Linked DNA regions of Canis lupus familiaris. The protein of the gene in region 4 interacts with the protein of the main gene of each other region in a pairwise test. Links are inferred from orthologs where the notes say so. Each region holds a gene or a part of one and is shown on either strand. Other genes may lie near its edges.

Region 1 (7,482 bases), about 7.5 Mb from region 4:
ATGTCGGGGCCTAGAAGACGGTTGAAATGCCCTATTTGACCTGATATCACCAGGGCTGATCCCTGTTGGTTCCATCTGCCTTATATCAGAGCAGGCCCGTGGGCTGGGACCATCAGTCCCCCTGCAGTGAGAGGCATTAGCCTCATCTAACCCCAGGGTTCTCTCTTGCCCACAAGCCAGAGTCTGTAGGAGAGTGAGCAGGCAGGATTATCTATATTCCAAGGAAAACTTCTGGTGGGTTATATGCTGTATGTGAAAGATATACATACAAACTCAAAGACCTCTGACAGAACAAACACAAGGCACAGTTATCAAAATCTTAGCTTCCAGAGTAAACCTTGAATCTACTAAACCTATTAGGGGAAATGTACCCAGCTGGAGGTGAGGGATTGTTGTTTCTCTTTCTCACTTGGCAGATTTGTATCACTTTCGTTTTTTGTCAGTCTCATTTCTTTGCTTCAGGCTGTCAGTTTCCTTGTTATCCAGCCAGCTTTGAAACCACACCAGTTGCAACATCTTGAATTGTATTTGGGACCACTTCTCCCATTGGACTCCTGAGTACCAAGGGTGATCAGAGAGGAGAGGCCCACAATTTTTTGCTCTTGGCCTCTTGTTGTCCTTGGTGTGTGTAAGGACTGTGGTGCCGAACTTTTGTCTCTTGCGCTTGTTCTTCATCTTTGGTCCAACTTTTCCCACCATATTTTCCTGAGTCCAGAGCTTTCCAATCTACTTGCTTTGTGTTTAGCCATGTAAATAGGTATTGAAAAAAATATATATAGGTTACTTTTGTATGTCTTAAAATTTTTTTTTACATAGATGGTACCTGGCTATAAATCTCATTTTTTCTTAATTTCTAAGAAAAATTTAAGTTTTTCTATGTGTTTATATATATAAACTTTTTTTTTTTTAAGTGGGTTCCATGCCCAGTGTGGAGCCCAACACGGGGCTTGAACTCATGACTCTGAGATCAGGACCTAAGCTGAAATCAGGAGTCGGGCACCCAACAGACTGAGCCTTCCAGGCACCCCTTAAGTGTGTGTGTGTGTGTGTATGCAAGAATTTTATTCATGAGAGACACAGAGAAGCAGAAACATAGGCACAGGGAGGAGCAGGCTCCCTGTGGGGAGCCTGATACGGGACTCAATCCTAGGACCCCGGGATCACACCCTGAGCCAAAGGCAAGATGCTTGACCACTGAGACACCCAAGTACCACTATTTTTTAAGTTATATTTTAAGTTCTATTTTCTACCTTTATCTGTGGTGTTACAATTTGATCTTTTTGTTCCTTCTAGCTCCTATATAGTCTTCCATTGTGAGCTTATTTTTTTTTATTTCACCTCCACTTTGTTGTTCATGACTAGGTTATGACAAAGATCCCTTGTCATGTCCCCTGTGCCTTTGTGCACAAGGTTTCCTCCAAGAATGGGGGTTTGGGGTCAAAAGGTGTCAGCTTACCTGAGGGTACCACATACTGCTAGGCTGCTTTCCAGAGGATTTGCAGCAGTTTCAGTGGCCACCTGCCGTGTCTGGGGGTCCCCATTGTCCTCACACCTATATGAACAAAAAAATCAAGAAATGAGTAATACCAGTGTGATGGGCGTGACATGGCACCCATTGTTTCAACCTACATTTTTCTGAGTGCCAATAAAGTTGAATAGCCCTCTATATACAGTTGTCTGCTCTTTTGCTCGTTCATATCTTTTGCCAGATTTTCAAGTGGGTTTCCAGTTGTTGTTGTTGTTTTTTTTAAGATTTTATTTATTTATTCATGAGAGACCCAGAGAGAGAGAGAGAGGCAGAGACACAGGCAGAGGGAGAAGCAGGCTCCATGCAGGGAACCCAATATGGAACTTGATCCCGGGACTCCAGGATCATACCCTGGGCCGAAGGCAGGCGCTAAACTGCTGAGCCACCCAGGAATCCCCAGGTTTCCAGTCTTTTTTTTTTTTTTTTTAAATATTTTTAATTTTTATTTATTTATGATAGAGAGAGAGAGAGGCAGAGACACAGGCAGAGGGAGAAGCAGGCACCATGCACTGGGAGCCTGATGTGGGATTCGATCCCGGGTCTCCAGGATCGCGCCCTGGGCCAAAGGCAGGCGCCAAACTGCTGCGCCACCCAGGGATCCCTCCAGTCTTTATCATCATTCATTTTCCAGGCATTCCCTTAATGTGCTAGTTATTAATTCTTTTTCATTTGTAACCATGGCAAATATCTCACTCTCGCCTGGCCTGTTGCTGTCTGATACTGTTGCAGTGTCTGTCGTTGAAAAGAAGCTTTAAACTTAGAATAGTCTCAAAGATAGTACATTTTTTCTTTTGCAGATCTTAAGAACTCTTTCCCCACCTAGAAATCACTATATTACTTTTTCCTATAGAAATAGTTCAAAAACGATTTCTCAAACTTCAGGGTGTAGAAGGAAAGTCCTAGGATAAGTTAAAAGGAAAAAGAAGACCTCACAACACACAGTGATGCATTTTTACACCCACCAGGTTGGCAAAAATTTTTAAATTGGACAGTGACAATGTTGCTGGCCACATGGAACTACAAGAACTCTCATTGACTTTACCTTAGAAATTAAAAGTTCTTTTCCCACAAATACTCTATAGAAATTCATCCACCTGTCAGCAGATGTATGCACAAGTGTTCATAGCAGCATCATTTATAACAGCTCACCTGTACACAGTCCACATATCTATCAGTAAGTGATTGTGTACCTTGCAGCATGCTCATAAACTCCACACTATATACAGCCATGAACTGTACTGCAATGGAGTGCTGCATAGTGGACTATATATGGTTAAATGTTTTGACACAGTGAAATCTCATAATATTGAACGAAAAAGGAAGTGATGAAGGTGATACAAATTCAAAAGCATTTGAAGCAGTATATTTTTAGGTTTTTTTGTATAGTAACACAGCTATAAGGAAAAGTAAAGAAATTTTTAAAAAGGCAGAGTAGCGATTACCCAAGAGGGGAAGGAGAGAGATTCATTAGGAGTACTGTACTTGAGGCTTTGGTGGTGGTGGTGTTCTATTTCTTAAGCAGGTGGCACATGTACAGGTATCCACTTGATAATGTTTTATCTCATACATATGCTATATTTTATTTGTGTATGAAAATTGTTCATAATTTCTGTGAAACCACTACAGTATGGAAGGGATTACCCTAGAATCTTTATTTTTAGTCAACACTTTGGTGATCCTGTTGCAGATGGTCCAGTTCTGAACTTAGAAAAAACATGGTCTTAGAATTTCACATTATCCCTTCAGGAAATTGGCCTTATTCTTGGCGGGGGGGTGGAGAGGAGATTCTTACTAAAACAAGGCTACAGATTCTGGACAGGTTCTAGTACTGTGTCATCAAGGCAGTCAGCTACAAGGGAAGGAGTACTGGAGCAGGAGTCCAGAGACCTAAGTCCCAGACCTCTTAACTTGGACATTTTATTTCTCTTGACCTCCATATCCTCATCTGTGAAATGAAGAAGTGGGATTAGATTATCTCTAAAATCCTTCATAGCTCTGTGTTCTGAGGTTGTGAACTTACTTCTCTCAATCCTGGTGTCTTCTCAGCCAGGTCCCAATGATAAGAAATCAGAACTGCTGCCGGCTGAATGGAACAGCAATAAAGACCTGTATGTCCTCCGGTATGAGTCTAAGGATGGGTCCAGAAAGCTCCTTGTGAAGGCTGTCACTGTAGAGAACAGCATGATCATCAATGTGCTGGTGAGTCTCAGGGATGTGTTGGCATCTGCTGGTGGGAGAGGACATTGGGATCACTTTTGTGTCACTCATTTAACAGTACAGATCAAGAGCCTTAAATGTTTGTGAGGACTTTACCCAATGACCTTACTCTTGGAACCAAGACAGGAATCCTCAGTATAGAACAGCTTTGTGCTCAAAGAGGTTCACCTTCTAGTATTATCAAGGGAGGGACTTTCCATCACAGGGGAATGATTACATAAATTAGGGTAAATCCTTTCAGTGACAATAGGGATGAAAAAAGCATACTGTAGGCCCAAGGGGCTACTTTTAGTCCTTTAGAGAAGCCTGCTCTCTGCTATCCTGGTGCCCTTACATTTCTCCTTTTCAGGGATGGAAAACTTTTCCCTGCCGCCATGAGCCACCCCATATGCACCCTCTTCCCTTCTAACTACCTACTCTAACCTGCCAGCAAAATCTAAATTATGCCTTTCTACTTCATCCTTTTATTTCCTTGCTGGTACTTACAACAGTTTGTAACCATGTAGTTATCCTTTGGTTTGATATTTGTGTTCCGCCACTGGCCTGTAAGCACCACAAGGGCAGTGACTGTCTTCTTAAGTTTGTCCTGGTTATCTCCATGTGCTCATATAAAATTGCATTGTACCTTGCTTTTTTCATTCAATATATTTTGGAGGTCTTTACGTGGGAATGCATAGAGATACACCTTATTAATTTTAACTACTATGTAGTTTTCTGTAATACCATAATTTATCCCTTTCTGTTTTTTTTTCCCTTTATTTAAATTCAATGTAGTTAACATAGAGTGTATTTATTTGTTTCAGGGGTAGAATTTAACGAATCATGAGTTGCACACAACACCCAGTTACATCGCATGCCCTCCTTAATGCCCATCACCTAGTTACCTACCATACCCCCACTCCCCTCCCCTCCAGCAGCGCTCGGTTTGTTTCCTAGAGTTAAGAGTTTTTTATGGTTTGCCTCCTGCTGTGTTTTTATCTTATTTCATTTTTCCATCCCTTCTCTTATGTTCACCTTATCCTTTTCTGTTTTGATGAACATTTAGATCTTGTATCAGACAGGGTTCTTAGTTATAGAAATCCCCTCAAGTTAGTTAGACTAGGTTTATTAATAGAACTGGGATAGCTTATTGAATTGTTAGGAGGAATTGTTTCTCTAAAACAGGTTCAAGTCTGGGCTTTCAAGACAGTGCCTCAAACCACCCCATGGAAACTAGTCCTGCTGCCACCACCCCAGACATGAGCTGCTGCTGCATGAGGTGCTGACTTATGCTCCAGGCCCTAGAGCCCCTTCTAATGAACCACTGATGCATCTGCTGCCCCCTCATTAGGGAGATGTCTGCCCCTTGCTGGGCCTGCTTTTCCATGTTGCCCACCTCTAAGCCAAAGACGTGCATCCATTTGACACCTCAGTTATATGCCTGTGCCCAGGAAATAGGTTTACTGGGCTCTGCCTCAGAAAGGCAGTATTTCTAAATAAGCATCAGAAGGGTGTTTCACATATCACAGATGTTCCTGGTATATTTCTTTGTGCATCTGTATTTCTTTAAATTGAATATTTAATTGTTATTCTCCCCTTAGCCCAGAAATATCCCGTCTCTCGTTTTCTGTTTTCATTTTTCTAGGAATTTGGGTCACAGCAGGTATCAGATTTGACCCTGAACTTGGATGATTATATCGATTCAGAACACCTGGGTGACTTCCACAGGTACTTCTAAGGGATGGCTTTTCCCTGGGAAAAAGAAGAAACAATGGAACGGGGTGGAGAAGTTCAGAGAGCCAAGAAAAATTAATAGAATGGTCTTTGTCTCTTGGGCATAGCCATTTCTCAATTCTCTTTTTTGTTTTTCAATTTATTTTAAGAGAAGATTCACATGGGAAATGCCGCGTGAAGTAAAATGATGTAAGCCTGAGTCCGCAAGTGTTTCGGTGGCTACAGGGGAGAGGTGGAATCAGGCCAATGGAGTCAGTAAGAATAGGCTCCTGGAGAAAAGGTGTGCCTAATCTGGTCTCCACCTCCAGCTTTTTCTTTTAAATGGACTTAATTTTTTCGAGCAGTTTCAGGTTAACAGCAAAACTGAACAACAAGCGCAGAGAATTTACATGAATAGGTCTGCCTCCAGCCACCTCGACACAGCCTCCACTATCAGCTTACTGTATATTTGTTATAATGGAAGAACCTGCATCAATATACATTCTCACTCAGATTCCATATTTTACATTCACTTCACTATTGGCAGTGTAGGAGTATGTTTAACCTTTACCTTTTTTTTTTTTTTTTTTTTTTTAAGATTTTATTTATTTGAGATAGAGTAAGCCAGAGAACATGAGCCGGGGGCAGAGGGAGAGGGAGAAGCAGGCTCCCTGCTCAGCAGGGGCTCTATCCCAGGACCCCAGGATCATGACCTGAACCAAAAGCAGACAGTTAACCAACTGAGCCACCCAGGAGCCCCAAGTATGTTTATTTTTGTACGAAACTGCTGTAGTGGCTTCCATAGTGGCAGTACCATTTCACATTCCCACCAGCAGTGTATGAGAGTTCCTGTTGCTCCACATCCTTGTCAGCATTTGGTGGTATTAGTTTTTCAGATTTGACCGTTCTAATTAGCGTGTAGTAGTATCTTTTAATTTACAGTTACCAAGTGACCTATGATGACCTGGAGCATCTTTTCATATGCTTATTTGGTGAGGCGTTTGTTCAGATCTCTGGCATTTTTTGATTGGTTTGTTCTCTTACTGTTGAGTTTTAAGAGTTCTTTGTATACTTTAGCTAACCATCTTTTATCATATATGTGTTTTGCAAATATTTTCTCCCAGTCTGGCTCATTTTCTCATTCTCCTGACTTTTTATTTTGAAATTTGCTACCTTACAGAAAAGATGGTTTACAGAAATATTGCAGTGAACACCCATATACCTATCACCGAAGTTTACCAGTTCTTAACATTTTGCCACATCTGCTTATTTTTTCTGTGCGCCATTCTGTTCTTAAACCACCTGAGAATTTTTTTTTTTTAGATTTTATTTATTTATTCATGAGACACACACACACACACACAGAGGCAGAGACATAGGCAGAGGGAGAAGCAGGCTCCATGCAGGGAGCCTGATGCGGGACTCGTTCCCAGGTCTCCAAGATCATGCCCTGGGCCGAAGGCAGTGCTAAACTGCTGAGACATCCAGGGATCCCCAAACCACCTGAGAATTATCTCCAGGCTTTGTTAACCTTCACCCCTAAATATTTCAGCAGTAGCTCCTTGTTCGTACAAGGGTATTCTCTATAATCTTAACACAGCTCTCACACTCAGGAAATGTAGCGCAGATACGGGAGTATCCCTTAATACACCATCTACATTGATATTTCTGCAGCCGTCATGCAGTGTCCTTTTTAGCTAGTTTTTTGAGTGTTTGGTTTGAGGGTTTTTTCTTACCCAACCAGAGATCCCATATTGCATTTATTTTCATGGCTCCTTAATTGTCTTTCATCCTGAACAGTTTTCCAGATGTTTGTTTTCCACGGCTTTGGTATTTTTGAAGACTCCAAGTCATTTATTGTGTAGAATGTTCAGATTGTTTCCTCATGATCAGATTTATTAGGTTATCTGGTCATCTTTGATTCAGACTGAACATTTTCAACAAGAGCACTCCTGCGTTCTCCTCAGCATCTCACATCAAGCCCAGACGTCTGTCTCGTTGGCTCTGTTCAGTTTGATCACTTGGTTATGACAGTATCTCCCAGC
Region 2 (7,000 bases), on a different chromosome or scaffold from region 4:
ATGACTGTCAGCCAGTCTTTCTTTTAGCACATTTCTTTGGGGGAGTGGGAGGATCAGATCTGTGTGTATATTCTTTCCTGATTATATAGAAAGGAGAACACATCCACAGACATGTAACTCTAGAAGAGACAGAATAGGGGCACCTGTCTGGCTCAGTAGCTGGAGTGTGTGACTCTTTATCTTAGGGTTGTGGGTTCAAGCCCTACATTTGGTGTAAAGATTGCTTAAAAATAAAATCTTTTTTAAAAAGGAGAGAGAACAGACAGTAACCATTTGAGTATTTATACTGCTTTACCTATTAAATCAGTAGCAAAAAATGAAGCATCTCCTGTGTGTTACAACTAGCATTTGGTGGGCTTTGTATTTTTCTCCTTTTTTAAAAGTGTTGCAACTCATAGCCTTTCCTAAACTAAGCTTGTACCATTAACTAATTTTGTTCTCTTTATTGATGTTCAGATTGTCCTTAGAAGCCAATCAGGTTCATTACTCTGTTCTTTGAATTACTACCCCAGATATTCTTGAAAGCATTCCTGTTCTCGGGCAACAGTGCCATGCTTCATTGATTTCTTGTCTTTAAACATAGACTCAAACCATCTCCTGAGGACTTCAGGTTCCTTTGAATGGAGTAGTCTATTCAGTTATTTATTCAGCATATGTTGGTGCCTACTATGTGCTGCATACTGTTTGGTTCCTGGGGATACAGCAGGGAACAAAGCAGATCAGTCTGTGTTCTCTGCCCTTACATAGCTTACATTCTAGTCAGGGGAGTCAGACAATAAAAAAAGAAGTAAACGATGTAGTAGGTCACAGGTTGGCAGTGCTACAGAGAACAGCCCGGAATGGAGAGGAGAAACATTCCCCAGAAAAAATTTTTTATGACTTTGTATGATGACAAATGGTAATTAGTTTTACTGTGGTGATCGTTTGACAGTGTATCCAAATATCTGATCATTATATTATACCCCTGAAACTAAGGTTACATGTCAATTATACTTTAGTAATTAAAAAAAGGAGGAGTGCCTGGATGGCTCAGTTGGTCAAGCCGCCAACTCTTCTGCTCAGCTCTTGATCTAGGCTCAGGGTCCTGGGATCAAGCCCCATGTTGGGCTGGGGGGGGGGGTCTGTGCTCAGCGGGGAGTCTGCTTGAGGTTTCTCTGTCCCTTTCTGTCACTGCCCTCCCTCTCTCTCTCAAATAAATAAATCTTTTAAAAAAATTTTTAAATAGGAAAAGAAACATTGCCTAGGATGGAGCAGTTGCAATTTTAAACAGAATGCTTGATTGGCTGTAAGGTGTGAAAGTTTTGGGCTGAACAACTGGAAGGATGGAGTTGCCATTATCTGAGAGGGAGAAGATAGAGGAGGAGCAGATTTGCAGAGGAGGATCAGGAGTTCAACCTAGGACCAGTTAAGTATGAGGTGCTTATTAAACAGTGAAGTGGAGTTTTTGAAGAAGGAGTTAAAACTCCCAAGGCTGGAGAAGGGTCTGAACTGAAAATATAAATCTGGAAGATACCAATATCTTGGTATTCAAGATATGGGTTCATAGTGCTGTATTTTTTTCCATTTTAACATTCTATGTTGTTACCTTCTACTCTCCTTACCATATCTAATTTGCCTTAAATTGATTTCTGCTTGAACAGATAGCTGAGCACAACAATGTCTGCCTCCCTTAGGACAGTATCAAGACCCTGTGTAAACTAGCCCCTTCCTACCTCTGGGACCTTTTCTTGGACCACTTTCCTTCCACCAGTCACTTAATTCCTAACACCCTGACTTCCTGACTGGTCCTCCAAAAGCTCCTTCCTGCCTTGTGGCCTTTTTGGGGAAAAGACCCTCCTACTGTTTAACTCTTACTCATTCTCATTCCTCAGAAGGGCCTTCCTTAGCCCTTTGTATCAATTAGGATTCTGTTGGCTGAGTCTGATCCCAATCAGCTTAGAAGATAGAAGGAATTGGGGTGCCTGGGTGGCTCAGTTCAGCGACTGCCTTCAGCTCAGGTCATGATCCCAGGTTCCTGGAATTGAGCCCCGCAATTCCAAGGGCTCTGCTCAACTGGGAGCCTGCTTCTCCCTCTCCTTGCTGCTCCCCCTGCTTGTGTTCTCTCTCTCTCTTTCTGTCAAATAAATAAATAAAATCTTTAAAAAAAAAAAGAAGATATAAGGAATTGACCAGTATATGTAACTCAGCAGTCAAGGGCCAGAGTGGTTTGAGGCAACTCCAGCTTTCCAGTTGCTTAGGCCTTGGCATCTTCCTTAAGTCCTCTCTCTCACACCTGACATTCAACCATTTGGTAAATCCTGTTGACTCTACCTTCAAAATATATTACAAATGCAGTCACTAATCATCACCTCAGCTGCTGACACTGCAGTCTAAGTCTCCATCTCTCACCTGGGCTATTACAGTAGCCTTCCCACTGGACTTCCTGCTTCCACACTAGCTCTCCTTATCCTCAGTCCTCCACACAGCAGCCAGATGAATCCTCTTAAACCCTGGTCAGTGGGGCACCTAGGTGGCTCGGTCAGTTAAGCGGTTAAGCGTCCGATTTCAGCTCAAGTCATGATCTCAGCAACCTGGGATTGAGCCCCACATCAGGGGTTATACCCTTAGTAGGGAGTCTGCTTCTCCCTCTCCCTGTAGCCGGACAGGAGCCCTCCCTCTCCTCATGCACACACATGTGCTCTCTCTCTCTCTCTCAAAATATTTTTTAAAGAACCCTTGTCATTTCACATTCCTTTTCTGATCACAAGCCTCCCTTGGCTCCAATCTCACGTAGAGTAAATGTCAAGAGTCCTCACCATGGCCTTGTGAGTTTTACATGATCTGCCTCCCCACCTTATCTCTCTGACCTCACCTCCTACAGTTTCCCCTTCCCTTATTCTTCAGCCATGCCAGCCACTTTGCTGTGCTTCAAACATGCCAGGTACACTCCTACCTCATCATTTTTCCATGTGTTGGGCCTTGTGTCTGGAACATTCATCTTCCATCTATCCTCATGATCATCTTCTTTAACTCTTTATGCAAATGCTTCTCGCACAGCCATTTGTAAGTGCTCTCATTAGAATTGCAGCCCCCCACTCCTGCACTCATCCTCTCTTATCATTTAACTTTTTCATTTTACTTATAACCCTCTGAAATACTCTATATATTATTCCATAATTTGTCCCTCTTAACGAGAACTTGAGCTCCATAAGGCTGAGATTTTTGTCTGTTGTGTTTGCTGTTATCTCCCAGTACCTAAAATTGCCTGGCATAGAGTAGGGATTCAATCAATTTCTTTGAATCAGTGCAGCCCAGATGGTGGCCAGGCATCTCTGCATAGGAGCAGGTCAAGTAGTAACATGTCCTACCACCTGCCATGTGGAAATCATCCAGGACATAGGCAGTTCTTGAAGTGATGAGGAAAAATCATCTTCATGAGCCTAAGTGTGGCCCACTCGGCCCTTTCTTGTTTCTTTTCTCCAGGCTCAGCGACAGCCTCACCAAGGACTCCATGAATATCAAGGCCCATATCCACATGTTGCTAGAGGTGAGAGTACCTCACCCCATTCCCAGACTCTGTCTCCAAATGTATTCAGGGTGGTGTGACCCGACGAAGGGAGAGAGCCAGGGATGGGAAGGACCATTTTCCTCTCTAAGCAGGAACCAGGCTGGCTCTGAGGGAGGGGAGGTCAGAGCAAGCCTGGGCTGAGGCCTAGACAATCTCTGTTCAATCTCTTCTATCCTTTTTTTCAGGGGCTTAGAGAACTACAAGGCCTGCAGAATTTCCCGGAGACACCTCACTATTGACTTCTTCCCGCCTCCGTAGACATTAAAGAGCCTGAATGCCTTTGAGTCACATGGCCCTTCTTTCCCCACCTCAACCCTTTGCTGTTTGCTAAGGTGCCCTGTTTCTAAAGCACAAAGTTACCAGGAACCCCAGAGAGCCAGTCTCTATGTGGAACCTTTAAAGCACCCCTGAAGTCCCGCCTCCAGCCTGTTGCCTGGCAGCATTTGCCACTTGACTTTCTGCACTGCCCTCTTTTCTGTCGCCTTGGAAACCTGGGCCTCCCACCTGACCCTTTTATCTTCCTGGACGTAACTGTCTTAATCATAGAGAATGGGCTGATTCAGGGTGGAGGTTTGTTCCCAAGACAATCAGCCTTTCATTCCTGGCCCTAAAGTTTGCCCCTCTCCCCCACCCTAATCATTACTGGGGTACCTTAGATTACACCCACGCCCGTCTCATTCCAACCTTGGCCTCACCCGGCTTCTAACTAATTTCAGCTTCCACCAATGGGCGCAGAGCCTGATCCCGCCCTACCCCGGCCGGCCCCTATTTTAGGTTGAGTCTAGCTTCCGCCAATCATTGCAGAGCCAGGTTCCGCCCCCTTATAACTGGCTGAGGCTCAACGCTGACCTCCTCGTAGGCTTTAGTTTCCGCCACTCAACGCTCCTTTGCGTGCCTGGCCGCTGTCCAACCCTATCTCTGCTCTGTCCTAAACTCGTCTTTTCTACCCAATCACGATAGAGTTATCCTCCCACCTACGCACAGTCCTGGCCCGACCCCCTCCCAGCCTGCCGCTACGCCCACTTCCATATAAGTCCCGCTTCCGCTGAGCAGCGTGGAGTGCAGCACCGCCCAGTTGGTGTTTTGGCAGCTGTCTGGAGTCCCTAGTCCGCCAATCAGTAGAAAGCAGAGTCCATCCGCCCCTATCCTCGGAGGCCGTCTTCCATGCAGGCCAATTATTATCAGGCAGGCGCCCCCAGAATCTTGTCAATCGCCCACAGGCTGTCAGCCTTGGGCCAATCAGCGTGAAGCGCCAGCGGGGCCCAGCACGCCCCCTCGGAACCCAGGCGGCTATCTGCGTTCCATCAGTTCTCCTCGGGCCAATCATGGCCTAGCTCTGCGGGGCAGGGCCCGCCTCCCCAACCCTGGAAGCCGCGCGGTCGAGCCAAGGCGCTGTGTCCAATCAACCAGCCGCGGAATGCTCGGCTCCTCCTCCAGGGGCCCACGTGAGCCGTGAGGAAACGCAGGGGCGGCTTCTAGGTGCCGCCGCCGCCGCCGCCGCCACCGCCGCCACCGCCGCCACCGCCACCTCGGAGCCCGGGCCTGGGGGGCGGTGGGGCTGCGCATGGAGCCCCCGCCCCCCGGAGCTGCCAATACTGCCACTGCGCTACACACAGGTGAGCCCGGGGCCTGGAGGGTGGAGGGCCCGTCCGTGACCCCACGTATCCTTCCCGCCCCCGCGCGAGGGATGTGGCTTGGCCCATGGCCTGCTGGTGTTCAACTGCCCACCGCCACCGCCACGGCTGGTGGACCTGCCTGTGGTATTGTCCCCTCCCTTCGCCCCTTGTAGTCGATCTGACCGTGGCCTGACCCCCCTTCCTGTTTTATAATGGATCGGTCTGCGTGCTTATAGTTCTCCCCACCCCACCTTACAGTGGACTCGTCCGTGGTCCTGCCCCGCCCCCACCCCCACTTAGAGGGGAGCAGCCTCGGGCATTGTCCCTCCTTGACAGAAGGTGCATCTGACTGTTTATTTTCTCCTGTCCTCAACTTTCAAGGGCCCCGTCTGTGGCCTTGTAGTTCTGTTCCTTGTAGTGAATCAGTCCATGGCGTGTTGCACCCCCCCCGCACCCCCTTTAACAGTGAGTTAATCTGTGAAGTTGTATTCCTGCCTCCTCCAGTCCCCCAGTGCATCAGTCCCATGGTTTTATCTTTTACAGTGTATCGGTCTGAATGCTAGTATCCACATCCCTTGTCGTTATCAGCCCATTGCCCTAGCCTCTTTTTTTTTTTTTTTTTTCAGACTGTTTCTCCAGCCCTTGGGCTTCTCTCTTCCTTTTAATAGTGGGTCAGTTTCGTGTTTTTGAACTCCCCATTTTCAGTAGCTCATTCCATGGCCTTGTTCCCTTCTCCTTTTAATGAGTCCGTGTGATGGCATTTCACCCCATCTACTCTTGTGCAGAGTAGATGCCTTTCTGCTCCCCTTGCCCCCCATAAAGAAGATGAGCCTTTGCACTCCCCTCCACCCCCGCCTTTGCAGTGGATCTGTTCATTGGCCTTCTTGTTCCCCATGTGCTTGCATCCAGGCACACACCCCCATACCCTCCCCTGAGTCCAGTGCTTTGTAATCTCTTCTCCAGGAGGGTGCTTTTATTTTGTCCCTCCTTTCCTTGTGGTGGATCAGTCCATGGCCTTCCCTGCTTCCTCTCTTCTTAATGGTGGATCATCCTGTGTGCTTGTTGAACCTGGCTCTTTTTTACTCTAGAACACATCCCCCTCGTACACATCATTAATCCCTAAGACATTCTGCCTCACTGCAATAAACGGATGCATTCAAGATAGCGATAATGCCATTAGGAGCTAACGTTTATTGAGCACCTACTAGGTACCTGGCAAAGTGCTTTATATCCATGACCTCATTTCGTCCTCACCACAATCCTGTGAGACAGGTACTCAGGAAAGTTCGGCACAAGGGGCTCAATACGTTATTCAGAGGTAAGTACCCAGTTAGGTTGCCCCTCAGAACACAGAATAATTTTTGAGGATCCCCTTTCTCACTTCATCCCATGCCACATGAGACCCCACTCCTTAAAAAACAAAGCACCTCCCGTCTCCAAGCTTTTGTTTTTGCTAGTTTCCCCCCCGCCTGCAGAGCTGTCTCCATTCCACACTTTTTCTCAGCACCCATCCACCCGCAATCGCAGCAGCCATATGATCTGAGTGATTTAACCACTTTCTCTCCGCACCTGCTTCCTCATTTGTAAAATGGAGGCATCAAAACCAGAATCCCCTCCAGTGTGAACATATCTGAGAGTTAATAAGACAAGTAACCTCTCTGGCTGCACCTCCTGCACCTTGTCCCTCCGACTCTGTTCCAGCCATACAAAGCTCCTCACTCATCCTCAAATCAAACACGCCAGATACAGCCCAGCCTGAGGGCCTGTGCATTGGCTATATTTTCTACCTGGAATAACGTCGTTCCCCTGATCTGTATGTGAGTCCTTTCAGAGCTCT
Region 3 (8,220 bases), on a different chromosome or scaffold from region 4:
ATGGTCATGGAATTGAGCCCATGGGCTTGGTGCTCAGCAGGGAGTCTGCTTGAGATTCTCTCTCTCCTCCCCCACTGTACTCTAAAATTAAAAAAATGGTCCTACAGTATATAACTACAGCAATAATTGTGATCTTACTAATGTGTCTTTCCTTGTTAAATAAATCTGAGGATAAGCTACTCAAGTTTCAAACAGACACATCTCATTTTACTGGAGGAGCTAGTACACAAGTGGTTTAGTTTCTTTTATAGCTGTTAACACCATTTAGGCTATGACCTTGACATACCTTGGAATGTGTCTGAAGACATTCTATTCCTTCAGTTAACTCTACAAACTTCTGTGCTTGGATCTCCAGTGCAATGATAGACAATGCCAACACAGAAGGCTAAAAGAGATAAATTTTAAGTAAGTATTGAGTTGAAAATAGGTATATAAATCAGTTTAATCTTTATAAAATATTTACCTTTGCTTTAGAAAATATGATCCTGCAGTGGCATGCCTTAAGTTGAGCTTCTAGTCTTTCAAAATTAAGGCTATTCTTCCTTTTAAAAAGAAAATGAAAATTAGATTAATTTTATGTAGAATGTAGTCAACGAAGGATGTTTAGAACAACATCTAAGTCATTTTAAAATGAAATTTACGTACACATCACAGAAAATAAATCATTTGAAGAATTCCCTTTCCTTCAGGAGCATTAACTTCTTGAAGATACCATACATGAATTTAAAATAATTTTACCCCCACCAAAAAAGTATCATGTTACAACTATCAAGTTTTCATTTTAATCTATTTCTGCAGTTACTGAGTTCTTTTTCCATAAATCTGGTAGATATTTACTAGGTTCTAGGAGTTAAGTAGTCTATAAGTGGAAAATGTAATAAAAAAAAAAAGTTGAAATGTCCCTTAATCCCAAGAATTAGCCTTCAGAGACTTGAAAAAGCTGTTGACAACTGAAAGTCTCACTTTCGCTGGACAGTGAAATGAAATCCAAGGAGCTGCAGCTGTCATTGTACTTTTTTACCCCCTTCATTTTACTTTTGATTGGAATTATACCAAATTCAAATACTGAATTATGCAATATCCAGAATACCATTTTGATTTCCAAATCTCCTTTGGTCAAAACAAAGATTACATACCTTTCAATTGGTAAGTTCTCTTGAATAAGTGAGTAGTAGAGTTGCAGAAATTGAAAGGCAGTAGTAGCTTTGACTTTCCAACACACTTTCTCCAATACAATCTTTTCCATTCTCATCAAGTCTGAAACCGTGAACCTATACTGGCTTATTCGGATCAAGTCAGTTGCCAATGGTACATTCCTTTCCTCTTCTATTGATTTAACAGCCAAATAGAAGCAGCTCAGCCCAACACAGCCAAGGTGCTTGGGCTGTACCTAAAATGACAATGAGACTATGCCTTTAGCTTATTTTATTTATTTTTAAAAGATTAAAAGATTTCATTTATTTCATGAGAGACACAGCGAGAGAGAGGCAGAGGGAGAAGCAGGCTACCTGTAGGGAGCCCAATGCCAGATTCGATTCCAGGATTCTGGGATCATGACCCAAGCCAAAGGCAGATGCTCAACCACTGAGCCACACAGGTATCCCTCTTTAGCTTATTTTAATTAAAAAATAAACAAATAAAATAATCTAGAACTCAGATACATTATTATTAAAATGTATCTTTGAGATCTATTTCTCAACTGTGAAGGACTTAATAGAGATCCAATCATTCCTCAACTCTAGCCTGTCAACACTATGTATCCACTTGGAATCAATTTTGGAGAAACTGGACTGTCAGGATAATATTTAACTTCAGCCCATAAGAAATTCTTTTTTTCTTTTCCTTCCTAAATCATTGTAGAACTGTAAGCATTATGTTCTAGTTGGACCAAATAAATTAACTGATCAAAGGCTTATAGGAGGATCAAAGCTCCTTATGGCTTATGCACAAAATATCTTTCTAAGATGTCGTGTTTTTCTAGGCTCTTTTCAATAACACATGTAAAATGGCTTTTAAATGGTTTAGCACACACTATTTACTCTGCCTGTAAAGCTCTATCCACTGCCAATCTTTTATAGTTATCATTTCCTGAATGTCTACAATGTGACAGAATCAAATTTCTATCCACTTGAAGTTACACGTTAAATGAAACTTTAAGAAGTTTTTACAGTGTGTGTGTCCTCCTTTTCTTGGAATCTCTTCAGCAACATATTTATTTCTCTTTGGGGGTTTAAGTATCTCTCTTATTCCTTGCATTGTTTTATAGTTATTGGTACAAACATTATTTTCATATAAGATTGTAATATACTTAAGGGACAGATGTATTATTATTAATCTGTGCAACATTTGTAGATTCAAAGGTAGTGCTGGCACATGGTGTCTAAACAATAGTTAAAAAATTAGTCTGTTGAGCAAGTTTCTTGAACCATCCAATTCAACAAATGTGGAATTTCTTCTGTGTATGAGGTGTTGTGTCAGGTACTGAAGACTAAAAGATGAGTTTCTTTCCATTTGTCACATCATCTCATCCACTCATGACCATGGGCACAAAAGGCAGATATATTTTTAACAGTAAGCAAGTTCTGAAATCTACACAGATGTCCTGCTTATCCAGTACAGGGAAATAATTACATAAATGCTCTTCCTTCAGAAGATACTCTTTTCTCTACCGTATGCCAACTGATGTTGAAAATAGCAAGCTAAACAATATATGAATAGGACTAGGGCTAAAACAATTAAAACTTTATATATGACTAGAAATTAAGAAGTATACTCTATTGACCAAGTGGTTCACAATATAAAACAAAACAGAACAAACCTGTAATTCTTAACCACAATCTAGCACTCTGCCTATAACACATTTCTTTAAATTTAAAAACAACAGTAGATAAATGAAAATACCCAACCTATCAAGAAAGATTTTAAAAAACAACAGCCAACTCTCATACTGGGAGTCTGCAATTATTTGCTAACACTTTTCTTTTTCTTTTCTTTTTTGCTAATAGACTATTTTTTCAATGTCAAGTTGATTCTAATTATACATTATTCTTGATTATGAAGGAAGAGTATTCACTAATGCTAGAGTACACAGAATCATCGAAATGTTTTGGCTACTTGCTGAAAATTAAAAAGGTCAAGTTTTTGAATACCAGCCCAAAGCTAGAGAAATTCACCTCCAAAACGAAATGACTAAAACCAAGAAATACTTAGTGTAATGTAGCTTTAAACATACCTTCATTTTGGACAGGAATCTGTCCAGTAAATTCACAGCTAGAGAAAATGTCTCCGTGTCAAAGCCAAAGAACTGAGTTAGACTAAGAAGATCTTTTACTTCAAAGTCCCTTAGTCTTGCAGTCATTCTGAGGCCATTATCGTGTGCAGATTCAATTAGTCTCAAGCCGCAGACCTTTGGCTGACATCTGGACTCCTGTTCCAATAGGGCATTCAGCTGGTGTAGCAGTTTCTGAGATTCAGTTGTTGTCAGTACTTCTATCATCTATATATAGCACAAGGCCCAGAAAGGAGTGTAAGAAAAGCCCTTCCTGCCTTGTAGCATGCCAAGTGCTTTATACACAAGTTTCCCCTCCCCCAATGCTGCCAGTGAATCTAAGTCCTTGCAAAGTGCCGTCTGTTACAGCCACCCCTCACCCCCACCCGACCAGTTGGTCACATCCTAGATTGTGACTTCCTAGAGGACAGGAGCCATGCCTCAAACACATTAAAAATCTTCAAGAAATACTTGTTCAAGTCATTCACTGCCAAGAGATAACTGAGTATTGATACTCTGAGATTGGACGGTCGTATGTAATCGCCCTATATTGAACTGCCATGCTGTGAACTGTTAACGTTGGTTAATTTTACTTAATCCCTATTTCCTCATCTGTAAAGTGGGTATGAGGTTCTTACCTACCTCACAGGCTTGTGTGGAAAAACGAGATCACCTAGGTATAGGGCTTAGCACAAAGGCACCTAATAAACACTGGACAATAGTATTTACTTCGTTGTAAAATGAGGTAACAACATTTGTCTCTCCGAGTGGCTGTTAAAATTCAAACAAGATGATTCATGTAGAGTTTTGCACAGTGCCTGACACACCGCGCTCCATCATCGTTAACTTTTATTGGTGAAGCTTAACACGTCGCGAGGGCGTGAGGTACCGTAGGCTGCAGCATGCACCTGGGAGTTTCATTAATCTCAGAGTCGGTTATTCCACAGCTAGTACGTCCCGGCCACAAGGGAAGCCCGGCACGAGCGTACCTCCCACACCACGGGGAAGACCGGGCGGCAGGGGATCTTTCAAGTTGCGCGACTGAAGGGAAGCGCCGACGAGGAAGCACTAACTTTACAGGCCCGACGCTTTTCCGCCGTGGGCTGGTCCCCGGGACCCCGCCGACCGGACAGTAAGACTGGCCCCGCCCCTCCAAGCTCCGACTAGCCTGGACTTGTTGCAACCGGAGAGTGAAGCGAGGGAAAGAGCGCGGGCTGGACCCGCCCCTCGCCCCGCATCCTTCACCCCCCACCCCTCACCCCTCACCCCTCACCCCTCACCCCTCACCCCCAACCCGGCTCCTCAGCCGCACCGCGAAGCCAACCCCCGAGGCCCCGCTCACCTTGACCGCGACTGCGGCTCCTCAGCCGTGACTACCCTCCCCGGGCCTGCTCTCACCTCACCCCGCGATAACAGATCCGATAGGCCCACGAGGCGAGGGGACTCGCGGGTAAGAGGGGAGAGGCCCGGGGAGGGGGAGCCGTCCTGGGCGGAGGTCTCCGCAGCGCCGCCCGGACGACACTGCCCACCACAGGGTCAGCTCGGAGCCGAAGGGGCAGCGCCTGACCGCTTGAGTAATATATTGGAGGGCGGGGCTTGCCCCTGGTGGGCGGGAGAGAGGGGCGGCTTAGCTTCTGATTGGTGCACTTCCTTTGATGGATGGCCCCAGCCGTCCAAAGAGGGCTGGCCTGGGAGGGAAGAAGTCCAGCCAATCGGCACACACTTCCCATTATCCCGGAGCCAAATTCTCCGCCCCCTGAGGCCACGCCCCTTGCCTCTCAGCTTCTCTCCGTGGAGAGTTTCCTAAAGTGTTTTCAACCAAGAGGTGGTCCAACTAAGTGGTGTACGCGCTCTGTCCCGGGTAAGGTCTCTGCTGCCAGCCGGATTGGCCAGAACATCATTCCAGAATGTACTGAGAGTGTCTGTTCCCTGCGGCTCAGTAGAGTTGTTCGGCGTCGTCTTTGTAAAAATACAGCGACTAATTACAAAACACAAAGTAAACCCTTGATTTTTCGTCACAGGTTGGAGAGGTGGTGAATTTTCTATGCGGTGGTGTATTCTATAGGTTTCTCCTTGTGGGCTTTGGAAAATCCATGAATTCTTGCCTTATTTTGCTTTTTGTACGATTTATCAAAGAATGGAGCTGGGGCAGGTGAATTCTTGGTCTTCACCAGTTTCCTGAATTTTATTTTTGAGCTAATTAAAAGTTGGTAGGTTTTGTTGTTGTTGTTGTTGTTGTTGTTTGTTTTTTTTTAAATGGCTTAAAATGGAAGGAGGAGAGTACATGGGAAAATATTTGTAGTGACTATGAATCTAAGTCCACAGACCCAGGTGTGAAGGGGGCCCATGCCAGGTAGGTGGGAAAATAATTAGCCTGAAGCCTTCCTGGACCCCCCTCCTCTTTCGATCCCTTACAAATGAGAAGGGTCTACATTAGAAGGGTCTGAGGACTGATGAGGAAAGAGTTAATCAGTTCTCAGAGCTGTACTTGGATGTCTCTGCTATCATGAACTCTTTCTGGTTAGTGGCATTCTGAGCTATAAAAAGTGAAAATCTGAAAGATTTACTGGTATCCCTTCTCTTTTCCCTGAGGTGTCTTTTCTTGAGGCAATGTCACAGAACCAAGCCTCAAAACGGGGGCAGAGTTGTGCAGAGGAAAAGAGAGGGAAAACCAGGGAGGAAACGTAATACCTCAAAATAACACCCCAGCCACAACAATAGGTTGGTTGACAAAATGCAGCTTTTCAAATGGGGAAGAGGCCTCCATCCTTCTTGAAAACAAACTTACATAATGAGTATAAACGGACAATTTAAAACATTTAAAAAGTATTCACTACAGTAATGTGTGAGTTTACAAATGTACATGTTTCTCTTTTGGCTTTTAGTTACAGAATTAGGAATATGTGTATATATACTCACTTACTAATATCTATTGAAACATGTGCCAGTGGAGAACAAAATATATTGGTACCTGTCCTTGTGGAATATGTAGTCTTGTGGACACTATAAACACATGGACTTTGGAATAAAACTTATTTTCAAATCGTAGGTTACTAACTAGCTATGTGACTCTTAAGTTATTAAATCACATTAGTTTCCATTCTTTTCTGGCAAGTAAAAGTACCTTATTCATAGGGTTATTGAGAGGATTAAATAAAGCAAAGTACATAAAAAGGTAGGCACTCTGCCCAGAACACAGTAAATACTTGCTAAATGGTAGCCTTTATTATTAAATTATTAACATTTCTTTTGAAAATGTCTTGCTCAAACATACATTTGATTGGGCTTTTTCTATTGTCAGATTTAATCTTCTCAGCCTAGAATCAGAGTTTAAGAACTGTTTACTTAAAACGAATAAAAGTATCTAAATTGCATTAATTTCTAAATCTTTTATACTTGAAATTTTCATGTGAGGCTTTAGGTAATATATCAGTGTTTATGTAATAAAACTGTTTCACATCAGGATCTTATTTTTTGAGATCTGAAATTCCCTATCTGAAAGTAATTGTTTTGACTGCTCTGAAGAAAACTTGATTAAATATAAAGCAAGTCAAATGGACATTCCTTACCTTTTCTCCTTCCCTTTACTCCCACTGTCATTTATATTTGATGATATTAGAATGTTAGTCTATCACTTAAATAATTGAAAAGAGATTATTTTTTATAGAAAAATTAGAAAAATGAGCAAATTAGAAATTAGAAAAATAAGCAAATGTAAGACTCAATTATGTACTCTTGTAAAAGAAAGAAAATGAGCCACTTATTCGCTATGAAATTATTTATAAAGATGTGTAGATTTAGTAATGAGTTTCAGGAATGTTTCAAATGACTGGCTTCTCAGGTATTTTCGAGGCTTGAAGATATATGCAGCTGCCATCTTTATACTTTCTTCTCTGTCATCAGTTAAGTGCAGCAAGAACCAAAGCTCAGAATAATGGCCTTGAGGTTGGGCAAGAATCCCAGGCAGTCACAGGAAGATTTAATCATATTCTCTACATTGTAGACTGCAGAAGTGCCTTTGAGCAACAAAAGTTATAACAAGTAGGTATAACAGTGGTCCTGTGTCAAATGCTGCCCAGACTCACAGGGAAGTTCCTAATTGGTTCTGTCTCCAACCTAGAGGTTGGAGGAGGTTCTGCACCTCACCATCTCTTTAGGCTTCTTGACAAATGTCTGGAACTTTTGTATGTTGATTTTTCCAATTGTGGTGAGGGATCAAGAAGTGAGGATCCCTGGGTACTTTCCCCTCTGCTTTCTGATCCTTTCTGGCACTAGTTATTACAATCCCTACCACCTCTCCAACTGTTTGCTAGAACACCTGCTCAGTATTATTCATTTAAAGAGAGCTTGTTTGGCAGTGGCCTTTTTGAGTCTTTATTAGCCCTTGGTGTACCAGAGAAATTGTGTATAGTCTGGGTGGTTGGGGTGGTGGTGGGGGGGGCGGGCAGGGAGAAGGATACATAGAAAATAGTTTAGTGATGTCATGTCTATCTTGCCATTCAGTGATTCTAACTACCTTAGATAAGGTAACCCCTTCCAACTAATTGAGGTTACACTACATTCAATGCAAAACTAAACTTCGTAGGTAACCACTGCTACCTAAAGGCACTTTTTTTTTTTTTTGGGGGGGGGGAGAAATAAGACAGTTTAATGATGGCTTCCTTGTTTTACAGACAACAGGAGGACAAACATTTCTCTCCATGCACCTGTGCAATGAAATCAGGCGAGTGGCAATCCCAGGACAGGAGCCATGGAACTCAGAGCCACCGCTCAGCCTCTCAGTCGCGTGGTCCCAGCAGCGGCAGACACGGGGAGGGCGGCCTGGCCTCCCGGGGTGGGAGTGAGGGGCCAGGTGCCGCAGGAAGTGAGGGGCGCGGCACTGCCCGGTGCTGGTGGGAGAGTGTGGGGAAGGGGGTGGGGAGCCAAGCGCCCGGGTGGGCCCCGACCACAGG
Region 4 (7,953 bases):
TCTTTCTGGAGTCCATGCTGGTTCCTTCATAATTGTGATTAATCTTTGAGGGATTCTAGCTATTTGCTAATGAATAGTACGGATGAGGGGGGAAGTAAGCTGGAGTAGTCCGAACCTTGACTCTAGGGTGTGGTCTTAAATGGCCCTCTCAAACAATCTACCAAATTCTTTATCCCTCATGTACCTCTTTTCACTGCTTTGTGTGTGTGTGTGTGTGTGTGTGTGTGTGTATTAATAAGGTTGGTTGAGATTATTTTCTCATGAAATATTCACTACTATGTAGCTTTATTATGTTAGAAAATACATACTTCTAGTACTATTTAACTGCTGTCTCCCCCTCCCAAATTAAAAAGCACAAATACAGAATTTGGCAGTGGATAAAATCATGTCTTAAATGTTAGCTTAAGAGATCATAATTAATCATTTCACATACAAAAAAATATATGGAGCCAGATAACTAAATAGAAAAATGTACTCCTGGGGTGCCTGGGTGGCTCAGTCAGTTAAGTGTCTGATTCTTGATTTTGGCTCATGTAATGATCTCACGAGTCAAAGGACTGAGCTCAGAATCTGGATCTGTGTTCAGTGTGGAGTCTGCTTGATATTCTCTCTCCCTCTGCTTCTCCTGCTGGCAATCACACTTTCTCTCTCTCTGTCTCTCTCAAATAAATACATCTTAAAAAAGAGAGAGAAAGAAAGAAAATGTACTCTTGTTGGAGCTTCCTGAGTGAAATCTGAAACTGGTCCCCAGGCACAGAGGGCAAGGGGAGAATGAAGAAACAGGCCACTCCAGATTAGTAGGTGACGATTTTAATAATCAAGGGAATCTATATGTGAGGTTTGTCTTAGGTGGTGCAACATGAGCGGCTCTTCACACCTACTCAACAGAATCTTAGAAGTTTACAGAGGCCTTAACTGGGTTAAGTCACATATTCAGCAGGTGGACCTGAGAATACATTACCCTCTAAGGTTGTGTCCTTGAAACTGGCTCCTACGGTGGGAATGGTGGGCCAAATGTACATTGCCAGGACAGGGGAGATTGTGAGGAGAGGTGAGACCTGATTGCCCAGGTCCAGATTATGGGTCAACCAAAAGTTACATCCTCTCAATGACCAACTCCAACAACTCACAATTGCTGATCATAGGTTATTTTCCAAATTTTAAATCTCTGAGTAAAGTTTTTTAATCCCTCTGACAAATTGGTGCAGTTCTACTTTGTGTATTCAAAAGTGCCATATTTGATGAATACATTAGTGTGGTGGACAAAGTGACGTTCTACCCAGATCTCCCTTAAGTGAAGGACCTGTTACTCTAGCTGCAGGGACAACTGCTGGCAGATGGCTTTCAGATGTTCTTTTCTTCAGGGACTGCCTTAGCTTAAGAGAGCTGCCTCATTTCAAGTTCATGCCTATTCCAATACAGCCAAATGATTAATGTTAGTGTATAAAGGACTAGACAACTCGAATCAACTCGAGACAACTAAAGGATGATCCTTGCTCCAGAGCTCCCTGGAGGGCTGGCCAAGACTGCCATTGGCCCACACATGTTAGTTCTTAATCAACACCCTGCCTGCTAAACTCTTAAGACATGATATTATATGAAAAGAACCCTCCTAGGACTTAATGCAATGCAGTGTGTGCAGAAATAGCATTATTATTCATTTATAAAGTTTATCTTGCCTAACTCCTAAATGAATTTGAGGCAAATAACAATAATCATAGTATTAAACTGGTTGAAACAGCCACACAAATGCAAACTTTATGTTTAACAAGTAAGGCTTCTTCCCTGTGATTAAAGTTCAGTATTTCAAAGCAAAATTCTAATTGAATACCAATCACAAATGAACAAACCTCTATAAAGATATTTTCTAGCTCTTGCATCTGTGCAAGCACACATACAAGAAGGTCACAAAAAATAGAAAATATTTATGCAAATAATGATGGGAGAGGGGGTGGTGGTGGTGGGGGTAGAGTTAGGGCTATGTGTGTGGCTTAGAGAATAAAGAGGTAGACTTAGAGACTCCTATATTCCTTTAAACAGAAAAACAAGGCATGATTTACCAGGACATATTTTACTTTTATACACAGGAGTATTGAGGGAGAAAAGTAATTATCCATTTATCCTATGGCTTCTGTTTTGATACCACAGCTACTACATGGAAGGTCCTGAATGAATGGAAAACAAGCAAGAGAGAAATGATAAATATTATACCATTAACTCTAAAACTGTTTAGAGTTATTGAGTATAATAGGGTATTGATGGATACAAACCCTTCTTTTTAATCTGCTATGCAGTTATGGAATCAGATACCATATCATTAGCTCACGAAAATATTGTTGGGTTAGCTAAGGACAGACAAGGGTAGAACTTCATTTCCAAGGTTGGAAACTCATGACTGATTTTGTGAACGTCTTTCTCACTATGGCATGGACAGTGAATATTCTTGACAATGCCTGGAGCCTTCAGAGGCTGGGAAGAGAGTGGACAACTAGAGGATTTAATATAAACCACAAGGTATCATTGCAAGCTTCAGCCCAAACATTACTCATTCATCAGAAAGCCTTGTCATCTCTCAGTATACAAACGTCCTCGTCTTGTCACAATCTGCCAGTCTTCTTAACTGGGCTAGCCCAACCTTACCATGGCACGTGTCATAAATTCATCACTTGGATGCCCAGTCTGACTTTCTGTCCCAGGTCAGGAAAGGCAGGGGACAGCCAAGGGAGGCTGGTTTGGACTTGAGCAGAGCAGCTCATGTAGCAGCTAGTTTGCTAGCCAACCAGCAAAATGAGCATGGAGCGGTCCAGGAACTCGTATTCCCCTGTCAAATTCTAAGTCAGAAAGTAGCCAGTTTGTGCTGGATGCTCAGAGCCTAGCCCTAGTGTGATTTCTTCCAGGGCGGCACAGCAACCCAGTTGTGTGTGTGTACGTGTGTGTATGTGTGTGTAGAGTAGGAACCTTCCCTCACTAGCCACCACACCATCTGTAGGCAGGAGGGGCCTCTGTGGATGCCACAGACCATTTCTGGGCTGGCTTATTGAAGGATGGCCACACAGAGGTCATAGGGGGGTGTTCTCTAGATCTTGTTACTTAGCCCGCACAGGGGACCAGTGGCAACAACATCACCTGGAGGCTTATTTAGCTTGCAGAATCTGAGGCACCTGGACAGACCCAGTGACTATGAATACGCCTTTTAATGCTACGGCACGTTGAAGTTTGGGAAGCCCAGGTCCAGGTGGTAGCGAGGCGCTTAGCGGAAGGATCTGCCTCTCGGCCCCGCCTCCTCCCCCTCGGCTCTCCTCCCGGGCAAAGCCCAGCCCCGCATTGGTCCTGCACAGGATTCCTGCGAAGCCGGAGCGCGCGTGGAGGGGGGCGTGCAGGGGCTGCGCTGGCGCGGGCAGCGGCAAGCGGCTGCGTTCTCCGGCTCGGCTCGGGGCTCCGCAGCGTGGAGACCCTCCCCGACCCTCCCCGCCTCCCCTCCCCCAGCCCCCCGCAGCTGCTGCTGCCTGCCTCCCGCCGGCTGCCGCGAAAACCCGGAGCAGCTGCGTGCGCTCGTGGAAAGTCCTCCTAGGGGCGAAGCCGGGCAGCTGGGCATGCTCAGTAGCCGGCGAGGCTTGGGTGGGGAGTAGGGAGCCGCGGCTCTGCCTCTCCCGCCTCCCTCCGGCCCGCGCCTCCTCGCCCCTACCCAGCCCGTAGTAGTTGCCGGCGTGCGCCCGCGGAGACCCGGAACGTGGCGCTCCGGGCGATGTAGCGGCGGCGGCGGGAGCGGAGAAGGCGCCGCCAGCCAGCCGCCAGGTAGGCAGGCGCGCCCGGCTGCGCGGCTCGGGTGGGACGCGGCGCGGGGAGGGGCGCTGGCGGGGATGCGCGCGGCCGGGACCCGGCGTCCGGCTTCCCCCGCCGAGGATGCGAGGCGGGCGTCTGACAGCGCGGGGTGTGCATCGCCTGGAGATGCCGGAGGCTGGGGACCGGCCGGCTGCAGGGCGGGGATCCGGGGACCGCCCCCGCCCCCGCCCCCGCCCGCTGCTCTCCAGCCGGGGCCCTCCGCGGGTCGCATAAAGGATAGTTCCTTTATCCGGGGGGAGAGGGCGTGGGGGGCACCCCTGGCTGCCAGCTCCGGGAGTGTCTGGTCCCCTGGACCGCTAGCGAGCGCGGCGCCGGTTCTTTGTGTGTACAGCCGCGCACGCCCGGGGGTGCCAGGGTGCCTGCTTCGCCCCACGACTGTGGCACATATTGCCAGGGCAGGGTTTCCGTATGCTGTTTGTCTCTTGGCAGGTGTGGACGGGAAGATGTGCTAGCGGAGCCTTTATGGGGCTGTGTTTTCCTTTGTTACTTGCCTCGGTGCGTGTGTATACGTATGTGTGTGTGTGCGCGTGTGTGTGCGCGCGTGGAGGGTTGTGATGGAGAGGGAACTTCGGCTCCTGGGCACGGGGGTGGGCAGAGCGTGGAAGAGGATCTTGGTTCCAAACTCTTGTCAAAATCGCGTGTGATGTTGGCCTCCCGGAGGGTAAACTTGAAAAGTCCAGAAATCCTCTGTGCCCCGTTTGGAGGAGAAGCGTGTTTGCCCTCCCGGAACCCATGTGTGTGTAGCTGGAGCTTGAACCATGGGACGCGAGTTAATTCAACATTAGATGTCGGTTAAGGGAATTTGAAGCATTGGGGCTGTCTGTGGTGGGTTGTTGTCGTTGTTGTTTGTTTTTGGGTCAAATTAATAAATAGAGAAGTTGGCAGTAAGCCAGAGGAAAGTGCCATCCTTAATAGCTGGTGACAGGTTGGAAGGCTAAATACACTTTTGGGGAAATTGAGAAACCTGGCATTGCACAAGGTTCGACCGAGAAATAGCCATTGGCTCAGAGGTAACTCAAAATACCCCAGCACATCCCATTTTTCTTCTGGGGTTTGACGGTATGTACACACAGTCTATCTCACCTGAGTCCAGATGGACAAGATAGTCTTGAAAAGCCCCTCCTACACTAGAATTTTATGAAACTTGACACCCCAGAATAACAACTCTGCCACCTTATATTTCTATATCTGTTATATTCAGCAGCACAACTCACTGAGTTAGGGAGGGAAGGTAAATTTAGAATATGCTTTTATTTTTTACTTCATAATTTAAAGGATGGACATCAATTTAAAGGATGGAAAGGTTTGAGACACTTTCCTCCATACTTAGAGTATTTATTCATATGGCCTCCTAAGGTGGCAAGAAGGAGTCAGTATCATCAAAATGAAATGGGGAGTGCTTGAGGAAAATGAATTTTAGTAAATGAAAGCCATAAATGTCTAATCTGATGGTAATACCTTGACTTGGAATGCATATGTGCAAAGCAGAAGCACTGCTAATGGAAGCAATAGAGTTGATGGCAAGTTTATTGATAGCATTGATCTTAGAATAAGATTTTTGTGTTCCTCTGGGAATGGGTAAAGATCGATTATACTAGGTGCCTGCAACTTGGTATTTTGTTAATAAATGTGAATTTTAATTGCAGGCATTGAAAAGAGTTTGGCAGCTCCTCTGTCAGTTTGCTTCAATGCTGCAGGTGTAAGAGGCAGGTGTTCTGGGACGTGGTATCCTCTTGGTGATGAGACAGCTGAGTTTGGGCTCTGACTCCTCCGTTCCTAGCTTTGTGTTCTTGGGCAAGCTATTTAACTCTATAGAGCCTCCGTTTCTCCCATGTAAAACAACCCCGGGAATAGAGAGACTTACCTAAATGGCTTGGTGTGTGGATTATTTGTAATAGAAACCACCAGGAAAATGGTGGTGGCCGTTAGAAGAGGAAGGGAAATGGATATTTATTGAACCTATACTGTGTGCCCTGTGTTCTGTTAGTTACGCCCAAACAAGTAATCTAACTCTCTAAGCCCAATTAGTTTCCTAGGGCTGCTGTAAGAAATTGCCAAAAACCAGGTGGCTAAAAACAAAATTTGTTCTCTCCCGGTTCTGGAGGCTTGAACTCCTTTATCAAGGTGTAGACAAGGCTGTGCTCCCCCTGAGGCCTCTAGGGGAGGATCCTTTTTTGCCATTTTCAGCCTGTGGTGGCCCCAGGTGTTCCTTGGTTTGTGATAACTTCTCTCCAGTTTCTGCCTCCATCTTCACATGGCAAAGTTCCCTTCTTAAAAGGACCCCATTCCTATGAATTTAGGGTGCATTGTAATCTAGTATGACCTCAACTTGATTATATCTGCAAAAATCCTATTTCCAAATAAGGTCACATTTATAGGTTCTGGTTAGGCATGAATTTTTGGAGGACACTATTTAGTCCAGCGCATCAACATCTCTGTGATCTGTATTTCATGACATGATTATTTCAGCATATGAATAGAAGGTCAAGATGGAGTATTACGGGTTGTGGAAAGACTTTAAAGGTTATTGAATCCAGCTAACATGTATGAGGTTTCCCAACCTGGTAGGGAAGAGCAGCATTCGAAGGTACCAGACAAATGTCACTTATGTGGACACCCCCAGATGACCCAGGATCTCAGTCTCCTATAGGCTACCTAACCTGACACACCCTGTCCCAAATGTGTTCATTAATGTTGCCTCCTCCCTTTTTGCTACGCCACCAACACAATGCAAACAAATAACAGAAGATCGAATTGAACAAGAAAAATGACAGGAGAAACAAGAACATCCCAATCTGAACACCTTTCTGATCTTTCTAATCTTGGTAAATGGCACCACTGTACATGGAATTGCTTTTACCAGAGACTCGAGAATCGTCTTTGACACCTTCATTTCCTGTGCCCTCTATATCCCAAATCATCACAAAGTTACATAAACTTTGTCTTCTACATGTATATATCTTGATAGATTCTTCTTTCCATCCCTACCACCACACGATCAAACCTCAGGTCGTCATCTCTCCTGGATCACTAGTGTAACTTTCCAGCAAGATCCGGAGCTCCTTGCTTGGCACCTCCAATCATTCTTCTAGAGCAGATAGGATCATGTCAATTCCTTGCATAAAATACATTCACATACCTGGGATAGGTTCCAGAGACTGAGCCTTGGGTATTTGGCCAGACTTATGTTGGTCACACCCTCTTGCTGCTGTTAACATGGTCTCCTGTCTGTTGAGTATCACAAGCACTTCCCTTATACTTTTTCAGTACAAACTATACTCATCCTCTGGGCACCCTTGCTCTCCTTTTCCCAGCAGCCCCATTCTCCTTACCGCCTTTCTAATTTGCTTCTATAGCACTCACCTTAATTTGCAATTTCCTATTTATTTGTTTGGCTGTTTGTTAAATGTCTGTAAACTGATGGCCATTTTTTTTGTGTCTTGCATGTAGAAGATGCTCAATAATGGCAAATGAGTGAAGGAATGAATACTCTTACAGCATTTTTCTGTGCCAACTTTTAAAGATCTGATTTTTTAGAAACTTTTTTTTTTTTTTTTTTTTTTTACTAGTATAAAAAGAGCAACTCATTCTGACTTCAAAAAAGGAGTATTCTTGGCTTTAACAAATGCATCTTCTAAGAATTGGTTTTAAGCAAGCAGTTAAGAATTGAGTCAAAATATTTTCTGGCAACTGAGGTTTTTGTAAAAACCCATCAGTCAGTCAACAAACATTTCACACATGTATATTGGACTTTTATACTTGCATGCTAGGCCTTAGGGGGACAATGGAGAGCTAGACTTTTAGCCTTCCAGAGATTAATCATAAATAATAATGTGTAATAATAACATTATTTATTGAGCTGTTGTTACATTCCAGCTTCTCCTCAGTCCCTACCTATCCCTACTCATTCATTACTAGATAGTCCTCCAATCTCTCCCAGTAACACAGAACCCAAATCAGATGCACAATAAATATTTCATGAATTAATAATTAGTAGATACTATTATCCTGATCTTTTAAAATAGGAGACTTAAGCTTATCTGTGGAAGAAAGGAATCTGCTCATATACAGAAGAGCATGCAGCTTTTTTTTTTTTTTTTTTTAATATAT

What was found.
Region 1: the proteins of PAK5 (region 4) and PSMF1 interact in binary tests that used the Homo sapiens proteins (3 or more experiments, as listed by UniProt). The two-hybrid records come from large-scale screens. The link is inferred for Canis lupus familiaris from reciprocal best matches to the Homo sapiens genes PAK5 and PSMF1.
Region 2: the proteins of PAK5 (region 4) and UXT interact in binary tests that used the Homo sapiens proteins (3 or more experiments, as listed by UniProt). The two-hybrid records come from large-scale screens. The link is inferred for Canis lupus familiaris from reciprocal best matches to the Homo sapiens genes PAK5 and UXT.
Region 3: the proteins of PAK5 (region 4) and CCNG1 interact in binary tests that used the Homo sapiens proteins (3 or more experiments, as listed by UniProt). The two-hybrid records come from large-scale screens. The link is inferred for Canis lupus familiaris from reciprocal best matches to the Homo sapiens genes PAK5 and CCNG1.

What each region holds. Positions count from the first base shown.
Region 1 is NC_049245.1:20,352,948-20,360,429, reverse strand, and holds part of PSMF1 (proteasome inhibitor PI31 subunit), read left to right. Parts: exon of another isoform or gene 1-733; intron 734-1,456; exon of another isoform or gene 1,457-1,552; intron 1,553-3,548; exon of another isoform or gene 3,549-3,574; coding exon 3,575-3,727; exon of another isoform or gene 3,728-3,755; intron 3,756-5,369; coding exon 5,370-5,452; intron 5,453-7,482. UniProt on the Homo sapiens protein: Plays an important role in control of proteasome function. Inhibits the hydrolysis of protein and peptide substrates by the 20S proteasome. Also inhibits the activation of the proteasome by the proteasome regulatory proteins PA700 and PA28.
Region 2 is NC_049260.1:41,471,069-41,478,068, reverse strand, and holds the end of UXT (protein UXT), read left to right. Parts: intron 1-3,462; coding exon 3,463-3,526; intron 3,527-3,732; coding exon 3,733-3,786; 3' UTR 3,787-3,831; downstream 3,832-7,000. UniProt on the Homo sapiens protein: Involved in gene transcription regulation. Acts in concert with the corepressor URI1 to regulate androgen receptor AR-mediated transcription. Together with URI1, associates with chromatin to the NKX3-1 promoter region.
Region 3 is NC_049225.1:48,695,694-48,703,913, forward strand, and holds the start of CCNG1 (cyclin-G1), read right to left. Parts: upstream 4,838-8,220; 5' UTR 4,611-4,837; intron 4,040-4,610; 5' UTR 3,911-4,039; intron 3,497-3,910; coding exon 3,233-3,496; intron 1,391-3,232; coding exon 1,137-1,390; intron 543-1,136; coding exon 464-542; intron 386-463; coding exon 287-385; intron 1-286. UniProt on the Homo sapiens protein: May play a role in growth regulation. Is associated with G2/M phase arrest in response to DNA damage. May be an intermediate by which p53 mediates its role as an inhibitor of cellular proliferation.
Region 4 is NC_049245.1:12,850,135-12,858,087, forward strand, and holds the start of PAK5 (serine/threonine-protein kinase PAK 5), read left to right. Parts: upstream 1-3,569; 5' UTR 3,570-3,795; intron 3,796-7,953.